2 linked regions of the Bombyx mori genome follow. The protein of the gene in region 2 interacts with the protein of the main gene of each other region in a biochemical or structural test. Links are inferred from orthologs where the notes say so. Each region holds a gene or a part of one and is shown on either strand. Other genes may lie near its edges.

What was found. The genes of interacting proteins can lie anywhere in the genome.
Region 1: the proteins of DNA repair protein XRCC1 (region 2) and uncharacterized protein F21D5.5 form a complex in vitro, tested with the Homo sapiens proteins (3 studies listed by BioGRID and IntAct, with this or other methods). The link is inferred for Bombyx mori from reciprocal best matches to the Homo sapiens genes XRCC1 and PNKP.

The regions. Positions count from the first base shown.
Region 1 is NC_085114.1:7,135,716-7,146,594, forward strand, and holds uncharacterized protein F21D5.5, read right to left. Parts: upstream 6,986-10,879; 5' UTR 6,708-6,985; coding exon 6,575-6,707; intron 6,312-6,574; coding exon 5,608-6,311; intron 5,392-5,607; coding exon 5,122-5,391; intron 4,015-5,121; coding exon 3,865-4,014; intron 2,636-3,864; coding exon 2,430-2,635; intron 1,639-2,429; coding exon 1,515-1,638; 3' UTR 1,500-1,514; downstream 1-1,499. Other genes in the region: acetyl-coenzyme A transporter 1, read left to right, coding at 8,523-8,732, 8,812-9,101, 9,214-9,565, 9,764-9,883, 10,433-10,615. UniProt on the Homo sapiens protein: Plays a key role in the repair of DNA damage, functioning as part of both the non-homologous end-joining (NHEJ) and base excision repair (BER) pathways.
Region 2 is NC_085124.1:494,278-505,098, forward strand, and holds DNA repair protein XRCC1, read right to left. Parts: upstream 6,424-10,821; 5' UTR 5,971-6,423; coding exon 5,920-5,970; intron 4,740-5,919; coding exon 4,629-4,739; intron 4,316-4,628; coding exon 4,229-4,315; intron 3,870-4,228; coding exon 3,702-3,869; intron 3,250-3,701; coding exon 3,054-3,249; intron 2,694-3,053; coding exon 2,434-2,693; intron 2,071-2,433; coding exon 1,971-2,070; intron 1,909-1,970; coding exon 1,761-1,908; intron 1,685-1,760; coding exon 1,512-1,684; intron 1,241-1,511; coding exon 1,035-1,240; intron 921-1,034; coding exon 795-920; exon of another isoform or gene 789-794; intron 480-788; coding exon 342-479; 3' UTR 292-341; downstream 1-291. Other genes in the region: uncharacterized protein LOC101737274, read right to left, coding at 7,462-8,217, 8,459-8,470. UniProt on the Homo sapiens protein: Scaffold protein involved in DNA single-strand break repair by mediating the assembly of DNA break repair protein complexes. Negatively regulates ADP-ribosyltransferase activity of PARP1 during base-excision repair in order to prevent excessive PARP1 activity.

The DNA of each region.
Region 1 (10,879 bases), on a different chromosome or scaffold from region 2:
TTAAATTATTTATAGGTTATTGATATCTTCAAGCTAAGAAGCATCTTTTAAGTTAGAAAAAATCCTTTTAAGGCTAAACCTTGTGTTGTGATGATACTGCGACGTCCAAAACCGGCAATACCAACGTAATGTATATTAGTTCATTCAGCACACGATTCTAATGTTTCATATTTCATCATATATTGCTATTTACCATATTATATGGCGCGACCAAATCTCAGAAACAAATATGATCAGCAAAGACCGCCCTCGACCCATCGTTTATTGTATACTGTCCCGAAATTTGTAGATATTCTTAATCGTTAAATTAAAACAAATACAGACAACATATCGTTCTAGTATTTGGCAACGAAGTCCCTGACTTTTAAGTATCTTGAGGCATGTCAGTACCCTACAGTGTCTCCTTGTGTAACAACGCCAATGACCTCTTCCCGGGTCTAGTTAGAAGAGTTACGAGTGATCTGTTATTGACACAAAATTATCAATCTCCATAATGTCCTCGCAGAATTAACACTACTAGTCGGCAGAAACCACCAACTACCTTGACATGAACAGTTTGTTCCCGACCTTCCCCTAATATTTAGGGTATCCAGTATGCCAGTAATTACAATTTGCTTATTACTTTACACAGAGTTTTCTAAGGCAACGAATATTCCCAGAGATATTAATTTCCATACAAAAACTAAACTAACTATACAGAAATTATGTTCCCCAAAATACGAAATAGTGGGATTCAAGAATTTATATACCGACTTAGTTTGGAGAGAGTTTGATTTTCCTCGAGTATACTTATGATAGCTGGGCAGAAGATCAAATATTAAAAATATTTTTATAGGTATTTAAAGTATTCGTTTTTAATTCTAGAAACTCTGAGTTTAAAAAGGTTCTCTGAACACACAAACTATTAGTAATGAAAATTTTATAAATTTTGAAATGTAATCGCTTAATTTGATCATAAAAGGATTTATGATTTAAAAAAAATACGGCGATTTTTCGTTTTACCGGCTTTCACTTCAACACCCAAAATCATTAAAAGTTTATTTGTATTCATTTATTATTTTATATATGTATGTAAAAAACTATTATATAAATACATATTTTTGTACACGTTTTATGATGTGGTGGCATTTTATATAGAGAAGAAAAATAATCGTTCTAAAATTTAAGAAAAAAGCTTTTGTCAGTATTTATCGTGCTTCAAACTCAATAGGCCTACATATTATAATACAATAAATCAAATGATAGTAGTTTTAAGTTATTTGTTAAAACTTAATCGCAATAAAAACTCGCTGTCTTCGAATAAATGGTTTTATTTTTAAATCAAGTTTATGATTATTTTAACCTATTTCATACGATTAATTTCATCCCATACATGACAGTGGTAAGTATAAGTTGCAACGAAATATGTATATGCAAAAACTGTAAAGAAATCAAACTATATTTGAATAACTCAACTGATACTAAGTCGAACACCGGGTGGAAAAAAAAAATATCTAATATTTTGGGTAAGTACTTTATTTCTCTAACAAATGCATTCTATATAAATTTTCAGCTTCTTCGCTCTCAAAGCACGGGTTGAATTTCACTTCAATTACTTCTTTAAAACCTTCGTTTGGTGACGGTTCAGTGAACTTGTTTCTGTTGTGAAAAAATGGTTATTAAAAAAGTTTTCTTTACCAAATTGTGTTTTCGATTGTCTATGGAAAATGAACATTTGAGTTCTGTTTTTTTTTTCTACAAATTCTAGTAACTTAGATTCATCGAGCTAGTAGGCACAGGGGAAAGATTCTTTGGGGGGATATTTGGGGGGAAAAAGTTAGTTAGAAATTTCGGAGGTTTTGTAGGTATCAATAATTCATCCACAAACACAGTTCACAATTACTATTAGAATAATTATAGTCTACTATACTATTCACAAGTCAATATTATAAAGGACAAATTATGCGACCAAATGGCAATAGAAACTGCCGAAGCGGTTCTCAGGATTCGATTTTCACTGCCAAATAGAGCCATAAATTTTGTTCCCACATCGGACATGTTAAATATCTTTAACTTCGAAAACGTGTATGCTTTAAATAATAATAACGAAAGTGAATCTGATTGTAATAATTGTTTAGAGATGGTTGAAGTTAAAGGGACAGCTTGATAAAAAAATAAAAGAATCCTTTTGGTTTTTTATTTCTTCTTTAAAATAAGTAAAGACTGTTTTGGGGGTCTTTTTCTTCAAAAAGCCTATTTTCGGGGGGTTTTCGAAAAAAGTTGGGGGGAAATTCACACAGTCATCTGGCAACACTGAACACTGGCCTTAGCAAGAGCAGTGCTTCGCAAAATCTACCACCGGATCGGAAACGCGACCCACTGAGAAGATCCGGCGAGAAACTCAGTGGGCGTTGTGTTTTTTTGAGTTAGCTAAACAGTAATGCACTCACTTGTAGGTATGGAATACAATATCGTTAACAGGAACATGATTGATCTTCATCAGTTCCCTAAATTTGTTATTATGTTGCGCATGGGCCTTAGAAGTAGCCATTTTAGCACAACGACAATCTACTTTATTTTGTTTTGCGAGTGATGTCCAACGGGAACGAGACTCAACATCCGGATTCGTACTGTCTACTATGACACTTTTTCCTTGCTGCAAAAAAAAGACATTTTCTTATTATAAAGAGGTTATATACTATACTGCCAGGGAGACTTTTTGGCGGGAACGCGAGAAGCGAAGTTATGTTAATTGTTTTATTTTGTTAATTTGGTGTGTTTATTCAGGCTTAAACGTATGTTGCTTTATTCACGGTTTAACATCTGTGAAAGTGTATAAATGTGGAAATTTGAAACAGTCGTAAAATCTGGCTTCTCGAGTTCTTCCAAAATGTTCACCAAAATCTCTGTAAATAACCACCATTTTACAGACTTTATTTCATTTCATCTCATACCGTTTCATATAATTTCATCCCAATTGATTACAATCTCAAATAAGTAAATTTGACCTCATTTCATCCAAATAATTTTTTACTACATTATTTTTTATATAACAGAATATATAAAATAATAAGCTATAATATATGGTGCGATACCTTCGTATTTCCTGTTGGAAAATAGAATTACTACTAGACTACCAATACGTCATCTGGAAATGATTTCCTAGCTTTTTTTAATACCATTACACATATTAATTAATGACAGGTGTACGGCTGACTAAAACATATTAAAAAAACACCCAATTAAGACAAAGCTAAAGATATTCCAAAATCTATAAAAATCCATAAAGCTCTTTATGGATACAGGGTGCGTGCTAAATAACAAAACATATTATAAAGAACTTTAATCATATCACACATATACTTTCGAAAAAAAAACTACCCTCATTTAAGAATATACTAAATTCTTAATTAAGAAACCTTGATAATAATGAACATAAAATATTAAAATGACTATATCATAATTATGAAATTTAATGTAGTCAATACGAATCACAACCTATTACCCGTTCAATTAGATTAAAATGTTATCTGATTGTGTCCATAAGACTTTCAATTAAAATTTCAATCAATATTGTAATATTACAATGCTATTTGTTAATTGCATTATTACTGATAATGATAAAGTGGACAGCTGGTGATAATGAACATAAAGACTGCCTGAAAATATGGTTCATTAAATTTCTCTTAAAGCCCATAGATATCAATCAAGTTAATGTCGCCTAATACCCATCTTGAGATACGAGTCGTAAATATAGCACTCCTCGCTCTTCAAATCGAAGCGCATTACTGCTTCACCGCAGAATTACGCTGGGCGAGCTCATAAAATACCCTACTACCAGTAAGTAAGCTTATTATATTTATTTGCCTTCGAACTTTGACTTACCTGCAACAATTTTGTGGCTTCAGCAGCACATTTTTGCCATGAGCCTAGAATATCTCTGCACACAGTCGCATATTTGTGATTTGATTTAGTTTCAATCTGCTTTGCCAAATAAGATTTTCCACTACCAGGAAATCCAACTAAAATTAGTATCTATAACGAAAGTTTTTTTATAACGACGTTATAACGAAATTTATTTTTATCGTTCTTTTGTTGTTGTCAACCTCACTGGCCATCAGGTGTTAAGTATTGAATGGCGCTATCTGCCGTAGGACGTGAGGTATAAGTCTCAATTGTGTTGGGTAATGGGTCTCCCCACTCTTCAAACCGGATCGCATTACTGTTATATGGCAGAAATAGACAGTATAATATACTCATGCGTGGTGGCTCACAAAATGCTCTATAAATAATAAATGTCGAAATACAGATCGCACTGTACTGGTATAATAGGTCCGAGAATGCTGCTACCCATTACTCGGTGACTAATCACCTTTTCAGAAAAATAGGAGGACAGGGGTTGTGCTGTGGGTCTGAAATAAAATTTGGGAAATAAACGTGGGCCAATCACGGCTGTACAGTCTACAAGCAAAGAACACAAGAACGCTAATTCCAAATGCTCAACTGTAGGAATTGCTGTATTGCTGTCGCAGCAGGACTTCATCAGTTTCATAAGTGCTCTCACTGTGTAACGTTTATTAATTTAACGTAAATTTCATTTGCATGAGACACTATTAAATGATACTTGATTCGCAACTAAATATATATATCTGCTTAAATTAAGGTATGCATTTTCGGTTTCTGGAACACTTGCAAAACCAATATTTTGATTAACTTTGAAATATTTCATCAATTTAAAATCTGCAGTAAAACTCAACTTAAAACTCAACCTCAAGTAAAAATAAAGTTTCAAAATGTTGAAAGAGAGTGAACCATTATTGTTGGAACTTCTAGCCAAAACTGCTAATAATGTGATTCCAACTTGAACAAAAAACAACATTTATTTGCTTAGTTAAGCATAATTATATATATATTGACTACTTTAGATTTCTTTAACCAAAGCAGCTCAAACAAAGACATTAACCTAGCGTCTCACAGTAGGTGGCAGCATTCACAATAGGATGTCTGTGAGTTCCAATAACCCTTAATATCTTTTTAGAGCAATTAATAACACCAGTATTGTATATTATTTTAGAATGTCTTTTGTTTAAAATCCAATTAAAAAAACAATTTTAAAATATATTTGAATGAAGTTTGACTAACCTCTTTATCTTTGCTAATTAGTTTATTATTAAAAGGTTCTACAGTTACTTCTTTAGGATGAAACTCAGGTTTACTCATTAGCACATTAGCAATAGAATGTCCCAAGAAGAATTGTTCGGGAGTATAAAATTTTAATTCCAAATTTTCAGCAAAGAGTTTGTCTGCCAAGGAGTGATCTTTCTTTTTACCAGGGGCCCAGTTTGCCACCCTTCCTGCAGCATCTCCACAATAAAAACTTTGGTTCATATCAACTTTGACACCATCATTTTTCTGTAAAAGAAAATAAATTAACATAAAATTCATAATATGCCTAGTTCTTTTAGGTCAGTATACTATAGGTTTATGTAGTTACCAATTCTGTCAAAATGGCTAAGCCCAAATTAAGTGAAGGCTTAAAAATATTAGAGATTTGTATTTCTTATAGCAAGACAGCTTTAATGCTTTAATTTAATCATAAATATGAGATTAAACAGACTCAAACTATACCTTTTCAGTCAAAGTCATCCACATTCCAATTCTAGGTTTCCTGTAAATCCCTTTACCAGTTGCTATATATGCTTGTACTGGCACATTTAATTTTTGGACAATACTTTCAATCTTCTTTTTAAAGTCTTCTATTTTAACTCTACCATTACCAATAGGGGCTTGATTGCTAAATAACACAATTTTGTAATCTTTTTCTAAAAATTCTTTCAGTTTTTGGGGCACTGAAGGAAATGCTATTTGCCAGTCATTTATGTCCACCGGATGAACTTTACCAGACTTTGTCTTGATTAGGGTTCCATCCATATCAAAAGATGCTATTTTGTCACTAGATTTCACTCCCTTAGCTGTAAACACATACAATTCACCTTTGTCTATTTCATCCCACATATCTCTAATAACTTTTTCAACTTTTTCTTTTACACTTGATGACACTTGTTCCACTTTTAATGATTTCTTTCTCTGAGATGTACTGTCATCTTCCAATTTCCTTTTGAATGTCTGATTCTGTGAGGTAGTTAGGCTTTCAGGAGGTGGATCAAATTCAAGTATATGCACATGATTGTTTAATAAAATCTCAATTGTTGATCCATGTCCAATTTCATACACTTCATCTTTTTTAAGAGCAAAACCATCTAACCCAGAAGCGTTTACCCCTAGTTGTTTTATCTCTACATGACATTTTTCACAATCTGCTTTTAAGCTTACTGTAAATGAAGAATAACAAGCATTTAGAAGAAGTAGAACACAATTATGGTAGGTATCAACTTAAGATTTTGATTTATCAACGCGAAATTATGTAGGATAAATAAAAATTTAAAGTATGTAAATTAATCTAAGCAAATAATTTTAAAAAATATGCAATGATTTGACGTAAAAGAAAATTATTCAAGATATTGCAATAAAGCTTGTTCAGCAAAGTATGCATTGGCACAATAAATAGGGTTTCTCAATTGAAGTTATCACTTACGCTGCTGTCTAGAACATGACTGATCCTTAATTTTTGTTTCTTTATTGCGCCCTACAATTATTTGTACGTTGTGAGGAAGTTTAATAGGCGCATGTGTATCTAACAAACATCTCAAAAAGCATAAACGAGACATGATAATAGTACGTACAGCATGAATAATGCGTTTAACATAGTTTTTATGAATTTAACTTTTGTATGGCATATTTAACAAACATGGTTATTTTTTTTAATTGGTACTTAACACGGTTTAATATTATAATATATAACAAGATAGGTTCAAAGGCTCGCAGATTTATTTAAGTACATTTAGGTATAGATTTTTTGAAAAATTAGAAATTAAATTAGGTGTATTATCTATGACAAATGACATAAAGTGACAGGACTTGTTGGCGGGAACGCGAGGAGTGAAGTTGTGTGATTTGTTTTATTTTGTCTATTTAGTGTTTCTTCAGGTTTAATATGTAATAGAGGTGGTTTTTTTAACTGTTTAGTATCTGTGAAAGTGCACAAATATGAGAAAATGAAACAAAGCCGCTGAACGTAGCTTCTCGGGATCCTCCAAAAAGTCCACTGAAACAGTCTCAGTAAATGACCACCATTTTACTGAGATTATATTTCATCCCATATCATCTCATCTCATTTCATTTCATGCCATGTTTCATATTAATCAACTTCATTTCATTTCATAATATCATTTTTCATGTAAAAAAGTTTTTATTAAAATTAAAATAAGATTTGACCTAAAGGTCTTAGTTACCAGGTCACAAAATCCCTTAAAAAAAATTAAGTGACAGTAAGTGACTCTTGTTTATAGAGATGGGTCAGATTTACAAGAACAGACCCAAGTATTAGGTATTTTACGAGATTAGGCTGCACCTAATCCCATTTTGCCAATATGTATAATCTACCTTTTCCACCTAACCTTCGTATTCTTAAAATCCTAATAACGTACTGAGAACTTGAGATTAGGAACAGGCAGATTGAGATTGCTTGCTTAGTAAAGTATTGGTTGTGAATGATATTAGGAAGATTTTATGGATTAGGTATTTCTTAAAATTAGGAGCTTGTGGTAAATCAAATACTAGTATCTGATTCACCTAGTATAACTCATCTCTAGCTGCTTAGGATAAGACGACGGAGGCTCGCTGAATTTGGCCCCACGTTTTTTCATTTCCGGATTTTTTTATTTTTTATTATTTATTGCTTAGATGGATGGACGAGCTTACAGCCCACCTGGTCTTTAGTGGTTACTGGAGCCCATAGACATCTACAACGTAAATGCGCCACCCACCTTGAGGTATAAATTCTAAAGTCTCAGTTTAATTACAACGGCTGCCCCACCATTCAAGCCGAAACACATTACTGCTGCACGGCAGAAATAGGCGGGGTGGTGGTACCGTGTGGGCTCACAAGAGGTCGTACCACCAGATTAGATGATAATAATAAGGCTTAATAAAGTGGAAACAACTTCGGGTAGAATTTCTGTATTGGCTACGTTCTCTTTGCATGTTTAATGGACGAATCACACAAACAAAAAATTACAATGCCACAGATCACTAAGAGATGTCAGTTTCCAAAAAAGAAACATGGTCATAGATAATACACTAGTTAATACGCGAAACCTACCTGTAATACTATGTTTCATTCATCAAATCAATTTCAATTTTCATATTAGGTACGTATGTGCTACTATGTACGTGGTAATCGTGCAGATTATTAATATTAAATAAATAGTTATTTTTTTATTAAAACTGTACTAAAAATTTTAAATGGTGAATGAAATAATTGATTTAGTCAGTTTTTAAGAAAAAAAAATTATTTTCAGTGTGGTCTTGATTCAAAACAGCAAACATTAAGGTTTGGAATGAGTAAATTCTACTGACGTGTTTTTTCAACATTGGCACTTTAGAACATTTGTGATGTATTTTAGGCTATAAGAGCAGCAATTATGACTTTAACAAAGCGCAAAAATTCACCGGAAAATGAGGAATTGATTGAAAACGGAGACGCGCCGAACGAAGGAAGAAGTAACATTAAAGGGGATGAACTAAACATAGCTGTTTTGTTGTTCCTATACACATTACAGGGTATACCACTGGGATTAGCTGGAGCTGTCCCAATGCTTTTACAAAATAAAGGCATAACGTACACGCAACAAGTCAGTATTCTAAAGAATTTTTTTTTATAATAAAAAGGTAATATTTTGCATTTCAACTATATCCGTTTTAAAATTTCAGGCTGAATTTAGTTTAGTAAATTGGCCCTTTAGTGTAAAACTATTATGGGCTCCTATAGTGGATGCAATGTTTTGGCCTGAATTTGGAAGAAGAAAAACTTGGCTTGTACCCGTCCAGTACTTGATTGGAATAGTAATGATTATAGTATCATATTGTGTCACAGATTGGCTGGGAATTGATGGGGAACCACCTTCAATGACAATACTTACAGTATCTTTTCTGTTATTAAATTTTTTAGCGGCCACACAAGATATTGCTGTTGATGGCTGGGCTTTGACTATGTTGAAAAGGTATGACAATCGCTTAATTATAAATATTATAAAAAGATGAAATTGACAGATTTGGAATTTGAATGTAAGATTTGATTAAGAATTGTAATTCTTTTTATGAATTAATTTTCAGGTGTAATGTTGGACATGCCTCGACATGTAATACAGTAGGCCAAACAGCTGGGTTTTTTTTGGGATATGTAATGTTTCTGGCTCTCGAGTCTCCATATTTCTGCAACAAATATTTACGAACAGAACCACAGGAGACTGGACTAGTGACTCTGTCAAGTTTTCTACTATTTTGGGGTTGGATTTTCATTATAACGACTACATTCATAGCTATATTTAAACATGAAGCTAATGATACCAGTGCAAGTGGTCAGGTGAAGGGAGGAAATGATATTGTTAGTGCTTACAAACAGTTGTATACAATTGTGAAATTACCAGCAGTGCGTAAATTAGCTTTGGTTCTGTTCACTGCTAAGGTGAGAAATATTTTAATTAATTAAATGAAATCCAAAGTGATTTAAGACACTATCCATTTAATTCATGTAAAATATGTAATATAACTTAATTGTTTTATAAGAAACATTTTATTATTGAATAACTTCAAATGGATAGATTCACTAAATCAATAGATATGATTTTACTTATTTGTGTATTTTAGCATATTCTTGTTTCAGCTTGGTTTTTGTGCGGCAGATGCAGTATCAGGCTTGAAGCTTGTTGAAGCCGGTGTCCCACGTGAAGATTTAGCTTTACTGGCTGTACCTTTGGTACCAGTACAGATCATAATGCCAGTTGTAAGTAGTCTCAAGTTCTTTGAATGAATATCGTTACTTTTTAGTTTTTGTCTTCTCAATAAATGATCAATTGCTGGTGGTAGGACCTCTTGTGAGTCTGCACGGGTAGGTACCACCATCCGCCTATTTCTGCCGTGAAACAGAAATGCGTTTCAGTTTGAAGGGTGGGGCAGCCGTTGTAATTATACTAAGACCTTAGAACTTATATGTAAAGGTGGGTGGCGCATTTACGTTGTAGATGTCTATGGGCTCCAGTAACCACTTAACACCAGGGGGGCTGTGAGCTCGTCCACCATCTATGCAATAAATAAAAAATTGCCATATGATATAATAAGTATTTTATGTAATGTAATAATTTATTGAAACCATTTTTCATTTCGGAGGATTTCCTGACACATAATTTTTTATTTATTTAATACATTGATTAATAAATGAATTATCTAATATCCCTGATTTAACTAAATTTGATTTTTAACCAAAATATGTAAATGATCTTCAATATACTATAAATTTTGATTGTTTTGCAGTAAAAGTTTTGTAAAATTACAGATTTTGGCTAAACACACAACAGGACCAGCCCCACTGTCTCTTTGGTTAAAGGCTTTCCCATTGAGGCTACTGGTTGGTCCTCTAGCGGCAGCCCTTGTAGCCTTCACACCAACACTGCTTGGTGACTCTGGACCTTCATACTCCTATCTAAGCATACTCATGTTACTGTATGTCTTTCATCAGGTTTGTTTAAAAATATTTCTTTAGCTCTACCTGTATAATGAGATTACTACATCAAGTTCACATCATATTATTATGTTATTTACTGCTCATATGTAGATAGATGATACCAAATAATATTTTGTTGTTGTAGTCATAGGGTACCCCGCTGGTACATAAAGCCTTCACAAGTTGTCTCCACTTGACCCCTGTCCTGTGCTTGCTTCTGGACATCACTCTAGGTCACGTCGACAGACCTCGTCTCGTTCTCCATGATGCGTCGCCAAG
Region 2 (10,821 bases):
CTGCGCCGCGATCAGCCGCGCGGCGCCTCTTTTGACTAGTCGGTAGAAGGCTCGTGCAGCCTCGCGACGTCACGCTACCCCTCCTTTGCCTTCAAATGACTATGAACTTTTTAATCACGTAGATAAGATTCAAAATAGTTTGTAATATTTTGCCTAAAAAAGACGCTGCCGGCCGCTGCTCTTTCAGTGGGAATTGACCCTAATCAACTAGAATGAAATTAAATGAAATGAGATGATATGGGATCTTAGTAAAATGGTGGTCATTTACTGAGATTTGTGAAAGAAAAGGCGTTGTTAGCTGACAGTTATTTAATGAAAGGAATTCACAAGTTGAGCTGTCGTTATATTGGACACAGTTTTCGTTGTTGATGACATTTCCACAGCCAGGCTGCAGTGACGGCGCGGCCCTTGATTCGCGGCGCGGCGCCGTCGTCGCACACCACGTAATCTACGCGGCTGTCCTCATCCAGCTGAGACTTCTGAAAAATGTACATTTGTTTAAAATTAGGAAAATATGTATATTTATCCAATCATAGAGGAAATGTGACAATCATGAAATTTTTTAACTATTTTGAATTAATATAAATTTATATAAATATAAATATAAGAATATAAATTTATTGCTCTTGTAGGCAGACGAGTATACGGCCCATCTGATGGTGAGTGGTTCCCGTCATCCATGGACTTCAGCAATGCCAGGAGCAGAGCCAAGCCGCTGCCTATCGTTAAGTACTCTCTACAAGCCTCGTTTGAAGAAGGGCATGTCATATTGTTGTGCCTGCAGCACGAGCGACCTGCAGCACGCGCCCCCCGTAGGCCCGCAGGTAGCGCCAGCAGCGCGCCCGCAGTTGTGTGTCCCCGGCCTCCACCGCGAACGTTACTCCCTCAAAGAACGCCGGCAGCGACTTGCTGTCGTCTATCTGGAAACAATACTTAATATTTAAAAAAAAAGTAATTTTTTTTTTTTTTTTATTGCTTAGATGTGTGGACGAGCTCTATTACTAACTAATCCGTTAGTAATAGAGTGTACGTGCCGCGTGCTCGGCGCCGCTGTCGGCCCCAGCGTCGGTCTCGTCCGAGTCCGACTCGACCGCGAGCGACGCCTTGACTCGTTCGTCGCACACGAACTGCACGTCGGGCTCGCCGCTGCCCCCCCTCGACCCTGTCGCGCCGGCGGGGGGGCTCGGCGCCCGGCCGCGGTCCCGCACTTCCTCGTCGGTGTCCGCTGACTCGTCAGTTTCTGGACGACAAGTAATTGGTCAAAATTACGTTTTAATTACATTTTTGCCTAATTTGTAGGCAGCAGCTTGGCTCTGCCCCTGGCATTGCTGAAGTCCACGGGCGACGGTAACCACTCACCATCAGGTGGGCCGTATGCTGGTCTGCCTACAAAGGAAATAAAAAATAATAATAATAATTAATTTTGTATTGTGGTTTAAAAATATTGGTAGCGGCGTCCGTCTGTTCTTATTAATGAATGAGCAATCGAACTGTCGGCGTGGTGCGTGAACCTGCAGCGTGTGGTGGTGCGGTGCGCTGGTGCGGCTCCGTGGCGTAGGGGCGCCAGGGCACGCGGCGGCGCGCGCGGCGGCACGCTCGCAGCCAGTCCGCGCGCACGGCGGGCACGGCGCCGCCCGCCACGCGCCGCACCTCCTGCAGCTTCGGCGTGTTGGGGAACGCGCATCTGCCGGCGACACGACGCTGTACTCCACGTGGCACAACGGACATTACAACATGTCGGGAGGTCGGAGGGCACGTACATGAGATGCGTGCAGGCGGGCCCCCAGACGGGCTCCCAGCGCGCCCCCAGCGCGACCCCCTCGCGGCGCAACTCTTGGCGGAGCGGGTTCTGGTAGCCGCTCAGCACGAAGCGCACGCCGCGCAGCACGTCCGCTGCGACACACGCGACTGTAACATATACTAATGACACCAGCGGTCAGGTGTGGAGTGTAGCGGCCCGGGCGACTCACCGAGCTGTCCCCGGGGGGCGGGCGCGGTCCCGGCGCTGTCGTCTCGCTTCACCCGCTTTGCTCTCGATGATATATTGTCTATATTTTTCTGGACTTCTTTCTGTGATCACACAATATGGACATCAGTATCACCCCTGATGACTAATACAGTATAATAGGATAAGCCTTATTTGTCTGTTCGTCACCGCAAGCCGTGAGCCGGGTCGTCGAAAGGCGACTTACGGACACTGGGTACCGCCGTCTTGCCTATATCCGTATTCCAGTTTATAAACGAGAAGGCTATTATACAATACAATTGACATTTCGACCTCACGTCTCAGGCAACATTCGCGTTGTGAAGTCAACGGGTTGTTCACCGCGGGTTGGCCCGTCCTTCAACCAAATATATATTCCCGGCAACAACGCGACAGGCGTTCCGCGCCGCTTCCGCCGCTCCTGCATCTGGTGGACAAATCTAGCTCACCGGGTCCCCCGCGCTATTGTCATCGGTCATCTTGTCACCCTTATGTCTATTAACGGTTTGGTCTATTTTTGCATGGTGTCTGGTGTCCTCTTCATCGTGCATCCGAGCGTCCCCGTCGCTGTCGGAGCGGCGCCGCCCGGCCGGCCTGTTCTGTTTGCTCTGTCGGAGTGTGGCCGCCGCGCTGAGGCCGGGGGAGGCGGCGGGGGAGTCCCCGGGAACGTTGCGGAGCGCGCGGGACGTCGCCTTGTGTATTTGGGATTCTGAAAATTGTATTCTGTATGAAAGCTGCGAGACGTACCCGCAGTTAAGCACTCGTCTAAAGTTTAAACGGAAATAATATTAAGTTAAATAAAATTTATATTGTAAATAAATAAAATTATAGAGCAACCCCGGGGCAAACACCGACGTGCCGCGGCCCCCGGGTGCCGGCGCCGGCCGGGGCAGCCCGGGGCGACAAGCCGTTCTACTGAACCGTGTTTGAACTTCGTTTCCTAACTGACTAATATTAGGTATTCATTTATAAACATTATATCCAAGAACATGAAAATTGTGGTTCAGAATTGGCAGCTGTTGAATTATCGACCTTATTGACAACACCGCTCAGTTTAAAACCTATTTACCTGTACTCGCCGGGCTGCTAGTTTTATCGTCCCCCAGTTTCAGCGGACTATCCTTCTGGGTGTAGTATTTAGCGAATAATTCCCCAGGTTTGAACTCTTCCTCGTCCGACGAGAAGGTGTCCAGGGCGAGGGGGCGCGGCGGCGCGGGCGGGGGTCCGTCCCCGGGCTCGTCGATGTGCAAGAACGAGAGGCCGAACTGAAAGGTTATATTAGTTTGAAGCCATGAACAGTTTTATAAAAATGAATATGTACTCTTATGAATATCATCAATAGCATCTCTGCCAGGTCTCGCGAATCGAAGACACAGCAAAACTATTTTTATATCCTAATGTAACAATTTTAATTCATCCTCATCAGCCTGCGGCAGTCCACTGCTGGACATAGGCCTCCCCCAAAACTCGCCACTGAACCCGATATTCGGTTCTACGCATCCAGTTACTGCCAGCTGCCTTGCGCAGGTCGTCACTTTATCTAGCAGGAGGACGTCCTACCCTACGTTATTTTAATGATGTTTAAAAAATTTAATTATGTTTTACTATTAGCGATCCTCATGACCGCGGGTTTTAGTAGTGTTTAATACTTATTATATATTACTTATAAAATATTAGTTAGATAGATAGTTATTAGGGCAACCGGGGCGCATGGTACCTGGCAGTGCCTGTTGTAGGGCTGCGCGCACACGACCCGCAGGCGGTCCCAGCGGCGCCCCCGGGCCGCGGCCGCCAGCTGGTCGCCGCGCCACGCCCGCACGCGCTGCACGCCCTCGGCGCGCCGGGACTCGCTGGGCGACAACATCACGCTGCTGGGGACCAGTACCTGAGCATGTCTCTCCGGTCACTCCACTGTCAATATCTATGTTTGAAAGCGACGGGCAGCAGAAGCAGCCGGGTGCCGGGATATGCCCTACATGATCCCTTGAGTTTTTCAATCCTATTTTTATTCTTATATAAAATTATAGACCCTGTTATTCATGGTGAAGACATTTGTTGACATCTTCAGATATGATGATAACCAGAGTAAAGCTACATTTTTGAATGTAACCTTTTTAGTGATTCCAAAGTACACTATTATTTTAGAAGCCTCCATATTTGAAACTGTTCCCTCCTAAGCATCCTAGATATTCATCAATTACAAGACCCCTAATGCAAAGTTCCCTAACAGTTGAGTAAACATACCTCAAAGGGTTCATCAGGTTTTTCAGATCTTCCAACGAGCACCTCCACAGTAGCAGCATGATGCACACCAAGATAGACTGATGATATCTGATTTTTAAGATGTTATTGGTTTTTTTGCCAGGTTTACTTGAGGAAAGTTGAAGTCATACACTATATAAGAAAACTATCTTGACTATTGTCTATTGATATATCATTATTATATCCACAAAGAAACCCATTTCCGAGTACAAATAATCAAAATATACAAAAACTATAGAAAAGAGTGATTTAGAACAAGGTATAGAACTATAGACCAGATTTACATTTCAGCATGCCCTTTTTGTATCGTAGGTTTGTATATCAAAATTACAAATATGAAAAAATTTAAGATTTTAATAGATCATGTTTGTTAAGAGCTTGCCTGGACTGCCTTGGCCAGCTGAAGTACGACTGAGCAGGAAGACTCTCCCTTGCAGCACAGCCATTTCTTCTTGTTCACTTCCAATGCCAACAGATTGTTAGCTGGGTGATCCTGGTAGAGAAGCAAAGATACTATTATGCTATACATGTTACAAAGAACATTACCCAAACCCTTTTTTTCTCCTGTGTTATGGATGGCAGAACACATTTGAGATGAAAATAAGTATCTCCAGACCCCAAATAAAAGAATTGAATTGTGGTATAGTTGTAAGTAAACACTAAAGCAGCAGGTTACCAGGGGTAAGATGTAGTCTAATAACATTGATATTATGTGGGCTTAGAAAAAAAAAAATTATATGGCTTAGAAATTTTTGAATTTAAATTAATAAAACTGTACTATATTTTTATTAATTAGGGTTCTACTGCATGCTCATTAAGTACAAAATAACTTTCCATTACATTTATGATAACTTTATTTTCAACTCTTGATTCCCATTCATACTTTGCTGTGATCAAATATATGAAATTGACTTTTGTCTATATGACATGGATGCCATTGTGTAGTATTTTTTTGTTACTGTTACTGTGTTAGTTCTTTATTTATTTATAGCTTAGATGGGGGGACGAGCTCACAGCCCACTTGGTTTTAGTGGTTATTGGAACCCATAGACATGTGCAATGTAAATGTCGCTACCTACCTTGAGAGATGAGTTCTAAAGTCTCAGTTTTTATAGTACAACCACTGCCCCACCGTTCAAACTGAAACACATTACTGCTTAACTGCAGAAGTAAGCAGGGTGGTGGTACCTACCAGTAATTACGCAAATTATAATTTTGCTGGTTTGATTTTTACTATACGATTACTCCGGGCAGAAGGTAGATGTATCGAGCAGTTGCGGTTTCTTCTATAAATCGAGTTTAAAAACAGCCACATAACATTAATTTGGATCCAAATGAGTTCATCAACATTCCTCATATAGTTCAATTTAAATGGCTAAAGAGAGAGGCCTGGTTTATAAAGTGAGACTAGTTTGGTGCATTTTGAATACGACAAAGGTATACATTATTTAAAAATATCCGATGACCTGGCTTACTGTCATCATCATATCGTTACAATCCCGTGCTTCGTGGTGGGCGGTGGGTAGGGCTTAGTAATTTATCATCCGGGAACAATCACTTACGATCAGGTAGGCATGTTTCAAGCAAAATTTAAAAATTCAACTACGGTTTCAATATCACTCATTGGTTTTTGTCAATTAATAGGTTAGATTATGATTAATATCAAAACTTACAGGATCCTCGCTGCTGAAGCTAACGACGTAATCAATTTTCACGCGCGGCATAGCGATACACCTTTATTTAGGAACATGTAATAATTTGGCCCTATAGTACTTGATAAAGATAATTGTTTTACCCTTAACGCACATTAACAATAAACGGTCACTTATGATGAGTTATTTAAAAAAAAAAAAAATTTTTAATAATTTATAGTTGGTTCGTTAAATTCGGTCGAAAATCGAAATTAAATTATTAATATTGTTTAGAAAACATTGAATTTTTTTTTCTTCATCCGTCGGACCGGTATCGTGGATTTACCTCATACAGCCAAATCATTTAAACGAAAAGCCCCAAGCCATGTTTGTGACATAAAAAGTGATGATAATGATGTTATTGCTTCGATTGATAGGTTTAATGAGGACAGAAGGTATGCTTTTTACTTTATTGAAAAGATAGATTTAGTTTAAACGCGTTTAAGCGTGGCTGTTCTGTGTTTAAACGTGTAATAATATTAATGAATAGGCTTAATAGTAATTTATTATCTGTGCTTCAATGTATAAATAACGGTATATTAACGAAAGCCAAATGCAATTTATAAAGAAAAAACAAGGAGAAACTTTTGTTTGATAGATACTCGTTTATTATATTATGCGTGTAGTCTATGGTTACTCGTAGGTCGTTACTCGTTAAGTACACAATAAATTTTAATTCGCATCTTATTTTGCATTTCCTTCTTACTTTATTCTTTGATATTTTATTAGAATTTAGGTTTTTGTAATGGGAAACTTACGTTTAAGTCTAATAAAAGCTGTGAAAATTATTAGACTTTGACCTGATGTGGCATGCACGTTGTTATATCTACAGGTTCCCCTAACCACTTAATATCAGGTCTTGTCTATCTAATATAAAAACGAAATAAAATTTAGGCGCGTGAATAAACTAATTTGAATAAATAAATAAAAATATTATTATTAAATTATTGTATATTAAATTATTATTATTATATATTGAATAAATGACTTTTGTCAGAACGACATTAATAATATTGTAAATGATAAAAGTGAACAATATCATTTCAAGCACGCGAGGCGCGGGCTCCCGTCCGTGACTGCGTCGGACTCACGCGACTCCTCTTCACTCTTCCACTTCCGATTGTTTTTAATCGGCATTGGCGATGAAAGTAAAATTTATAACATATTTGCGTTACAGTATGTGGAGTGGAACTTTTTAGTTTTTCTATATCAAGAGGATAATGATATTATTATTCCATTTATTTTATTTCATAAATAGATATTTACGAGCTATGTGCTAAAGTTGTAGACTTAGTAGATTGACATAACAATTGAATAAGCCGAGCATAAGTCGTAACCTAGTTTTTTTTCTGTCTAGGTACGTTACAATCAAAAGTTATAAATTATTTTTTAAAATATGCACACATTTAAAACGCCTTAAACTAGCTAAGGTCAATAAATGTAAATTTATTTACATTGGTATCAGACTGTTACGAAACTAAATAAATCTCATCACTATTTATAAATTAAGTAATTTAAATAATATTAGCTTCTCGTTATCCTGTGTTTGTGCACGCGTATGATGACGGGTGATTCCGTAGGAATTTTTTTCTTTGGCAGTATCTTTCGTTTCTTGGTAGGTTTTTTGTGGTAAGAATATCCTCCGAGCGCTGTAGGCTGAGCGTACAATATCGTCGGAGACGACTCTTGGCTTGAATCATATGAATTGTGATGAGATTTTAGGTACGAGTATGGAACGGATGATGAATATAAACGTCCAAGGTCCGTCTCAGCAGAGAGCGTAGATTCAGCGTAAGTGGGATATTCGTAAGGACGCGGACGTGGATACTCTTTATGAGAGAAAGATGTTTGTGGGTATTCCACGAAAGATGGTCTTGTGTGTGTAGGAAAGTAGAGCTTGGAGAAGTCTGGTGACGTAAGGGAAGAGAAGTCAGACGAAGAGAACGTTTTCCCATAGAAAGAATTTCCCTGAGAAGGTCTGTTGTATTGTGACGAGGAGAACGAAGGTGTACTGTAATGAGTATGGTAGCTCGGCTTGGAGTAAGCCGAATGATGTTTGGACGCGGAGTGATGGAGGTCTCTGTTGGGTGCTGAGAGAGGCGACGGAGACAACACGTGAAGGACCGGCATCGGCGGGTGCAGTGGAATGGCGGCGAAGACATATGGCTCGTAGTCCTGGGAGAAGTCCTTGGCGTAAACACCATAATTACTGCGTTTCTGGATAAAATCTTGAAGCAGCTCGGAGCGCGCCCAGCCGCAAGCGAGCAGTAACCACGGGATCTGTGACGATAAGTATGCTATTTACAAATAATTTGTATTCTTCAATTTAACCAAGCCTTTGTACATTTACTGAAGCCCACCGGGTACTTCGAAGTCCATCTAATTAATGCATATTTACTTGCATTGTTTTTTTAAACAGATATCCTAGTTTATCTTCCCAAATTTGAATTTAGTAATGACTATTTGTAAGATCGCCTTCATAATTACCGTTAATTTTTCTAAGTATTTAATAGTAACTTACAATGTTGTCCATGTCTGTGGTCCGGCCGGCTGGTCGACCTGAAGGCAACTGTGCCAGCAACGAGTGTGTATCGCGTATCCACATTTCAGTTACAGTACAGAGCTTGGTGCATAGCTGCATGGAGGAAATAGTAAGTGTGACAGTGTATTGCTTTACTGTGCTCTCGTGTCTGTGTCTAATCTATAGTAATAGAAAAACACAAATAAACTTAGATCGGTTGGTAAAACTTAATGAAATATCTATGTTGTCTTCTCTTCAAATCTTTGTTAGAGTATCAAGTCTCATATTTTGTACCCAATTTAGAATTCTCTTATTAGAATCTGTATTTGAAGTCAGTTAAAAATGGTGTAACCTAGATTTGTAGTTTAAATTATTTGTAATAGATTCTATTTTGTTCATTCTTTAAGTGTTTATCTAAGATGACCCGCCTGTTCTTAGACGGTTTCAGCAGCTCATAGCAGCATCAATGCCTCCGCTCACTTTGAGATATTCTAAGTCTTCAGTTACGGTACAATGGCTATACAGCTTCTAGAAATTTTGTTGTAGCTTCTCTTTATAGTTCTAGATACATGTTTACATTTAAATGCATGAAGTTGACAGCGCTGTAGCTAGTTTCCTTCCTCATGCTCGTGCTGGAAGGCGGAATGACGTAAAAACAACAAATCAAATCGTAAATTGTCCGGTTTTATAAAATAATGTTCTCTCATTAACAGCGGAAACGTTTTGAACCATTTAGTTGTGGATGAATATCCGAACCCATTTAAAAGGAATACTCGTATTTCCGTATAAAAATAAAAATGTCTAACGAAGGCAGAAGACGAGGCATAGCGCTCAGTGAGTGATCGACATCGCTCATGAAGATCATCTATGGCTGATGCTGAGTGCTCTTCTAACACATTGTTTGAAGGGGACGCTACGGCTACTCCCGTGGCGCTATAGTAATGAGTTGATGAGGTTTATCACAAAAAATACCTTAGAGCACCAAATGAATGAGAATCCCTCAATTTCCTTTGAGTAGACTGTGTGACTTACACAGAACGAACCGAGGGTCGGAGGTTCCACGTGCGCCTTAGAATAGAGTAATCCGTACGACCCTCTTCTGTATTAACCTGTTTCTGCAATAGATGTACTGGAGGGTCCTGGTCCAGGGATGAGAGTAGTACTCCACGCATTGCCGAACCTGTGCTTTGCTTTCTTTCTTTCGCTCTCTTGAGAACTCCCAACATTTTAAAAGTCAAAAGTCAACATTTTTACTGGTGGTAGGACCTCTTGTGAGTCCGCGCGGGTAGGTACCACCACCCTGCCTATTTCTGCCGTGAAGCAGTAATGCGTTTCGGTTTGAGTCGGCGCATTTACGTTGTAGATGTCTATGGGCTCCAGTAACCACTTAACACCAGGTGGTCTGTAACCTCGTCCACCCAGCTAAGCAAAAAAAAAGTCAAGTTGGTTTTCCTTCCAAATGACTTCGAAACTGAGCACGGCTCGAGAGAACGCGCCGGGTGTGGCGGTTTCTAATTAACGGAGCCACTCGGCGACTCCCATACACTGAACCAGGGGGTTCGAGCCCGCCCGGAACAGAACCGGGAGAAGTATGTAGTTGAAAAGTGACGTTAGCAGTGATGCATTATTAGGTGTTAGCGTTAATGAACTGAATCGAAGTTTCTACAATAGCATATTACGTACAATTGAATATATTAATATAAGTAGCGTGCAGTTCCGAGCGTTATGTTTGTTATCAATCAAATGTTGAGCACGTTGAGTGCACATCCGTTTTTTCGTCGTAGATGGGTGGACGACGGACGTGCTTCCTATTCACAGGCGGGTACTCTTGAGGAGAGTAGTCGTGGTCTATGATGATAATCAGTTTCGTTTCGTACTACAGTCAAACCTGGGTAAGTGAGAACTGGATAAGCGAGAAAACTCTATAAGTGAGAGTAATAGCCAGGACCCGTCATTTTAAGCTCCCAAAACCTCTATTAGCGAGAAACAGAAACCTCTGTAAGAGAGAGTCGTTTTTCCCTCACGGACCTCCGTAAGTGCGACTACTACTTATCTATACATCTATAAGCGACAGTCGAGCTTTATTTATTTATATTATTTAGGAGGAACAAATGACAAAACAAATTACAAATTTAACATCTGCTATTTTATGACTCATTCTTAACTTTCGTGGAACTTCCTATCATTGTTTTTGTAAAGTTTTCTCATCAATATTGAACCTATTCTATTTCGTGGAACTAAATAACGTTGTAATTTTATCGCATTCTTTTCGAATGGACACGTGTGCCTGTGTACCGTCCTGTTTGTCGGACTTACTCAGTTTATCGTTAATGAATTGCGAAGGAAAGTTCTGTTCTGCATCA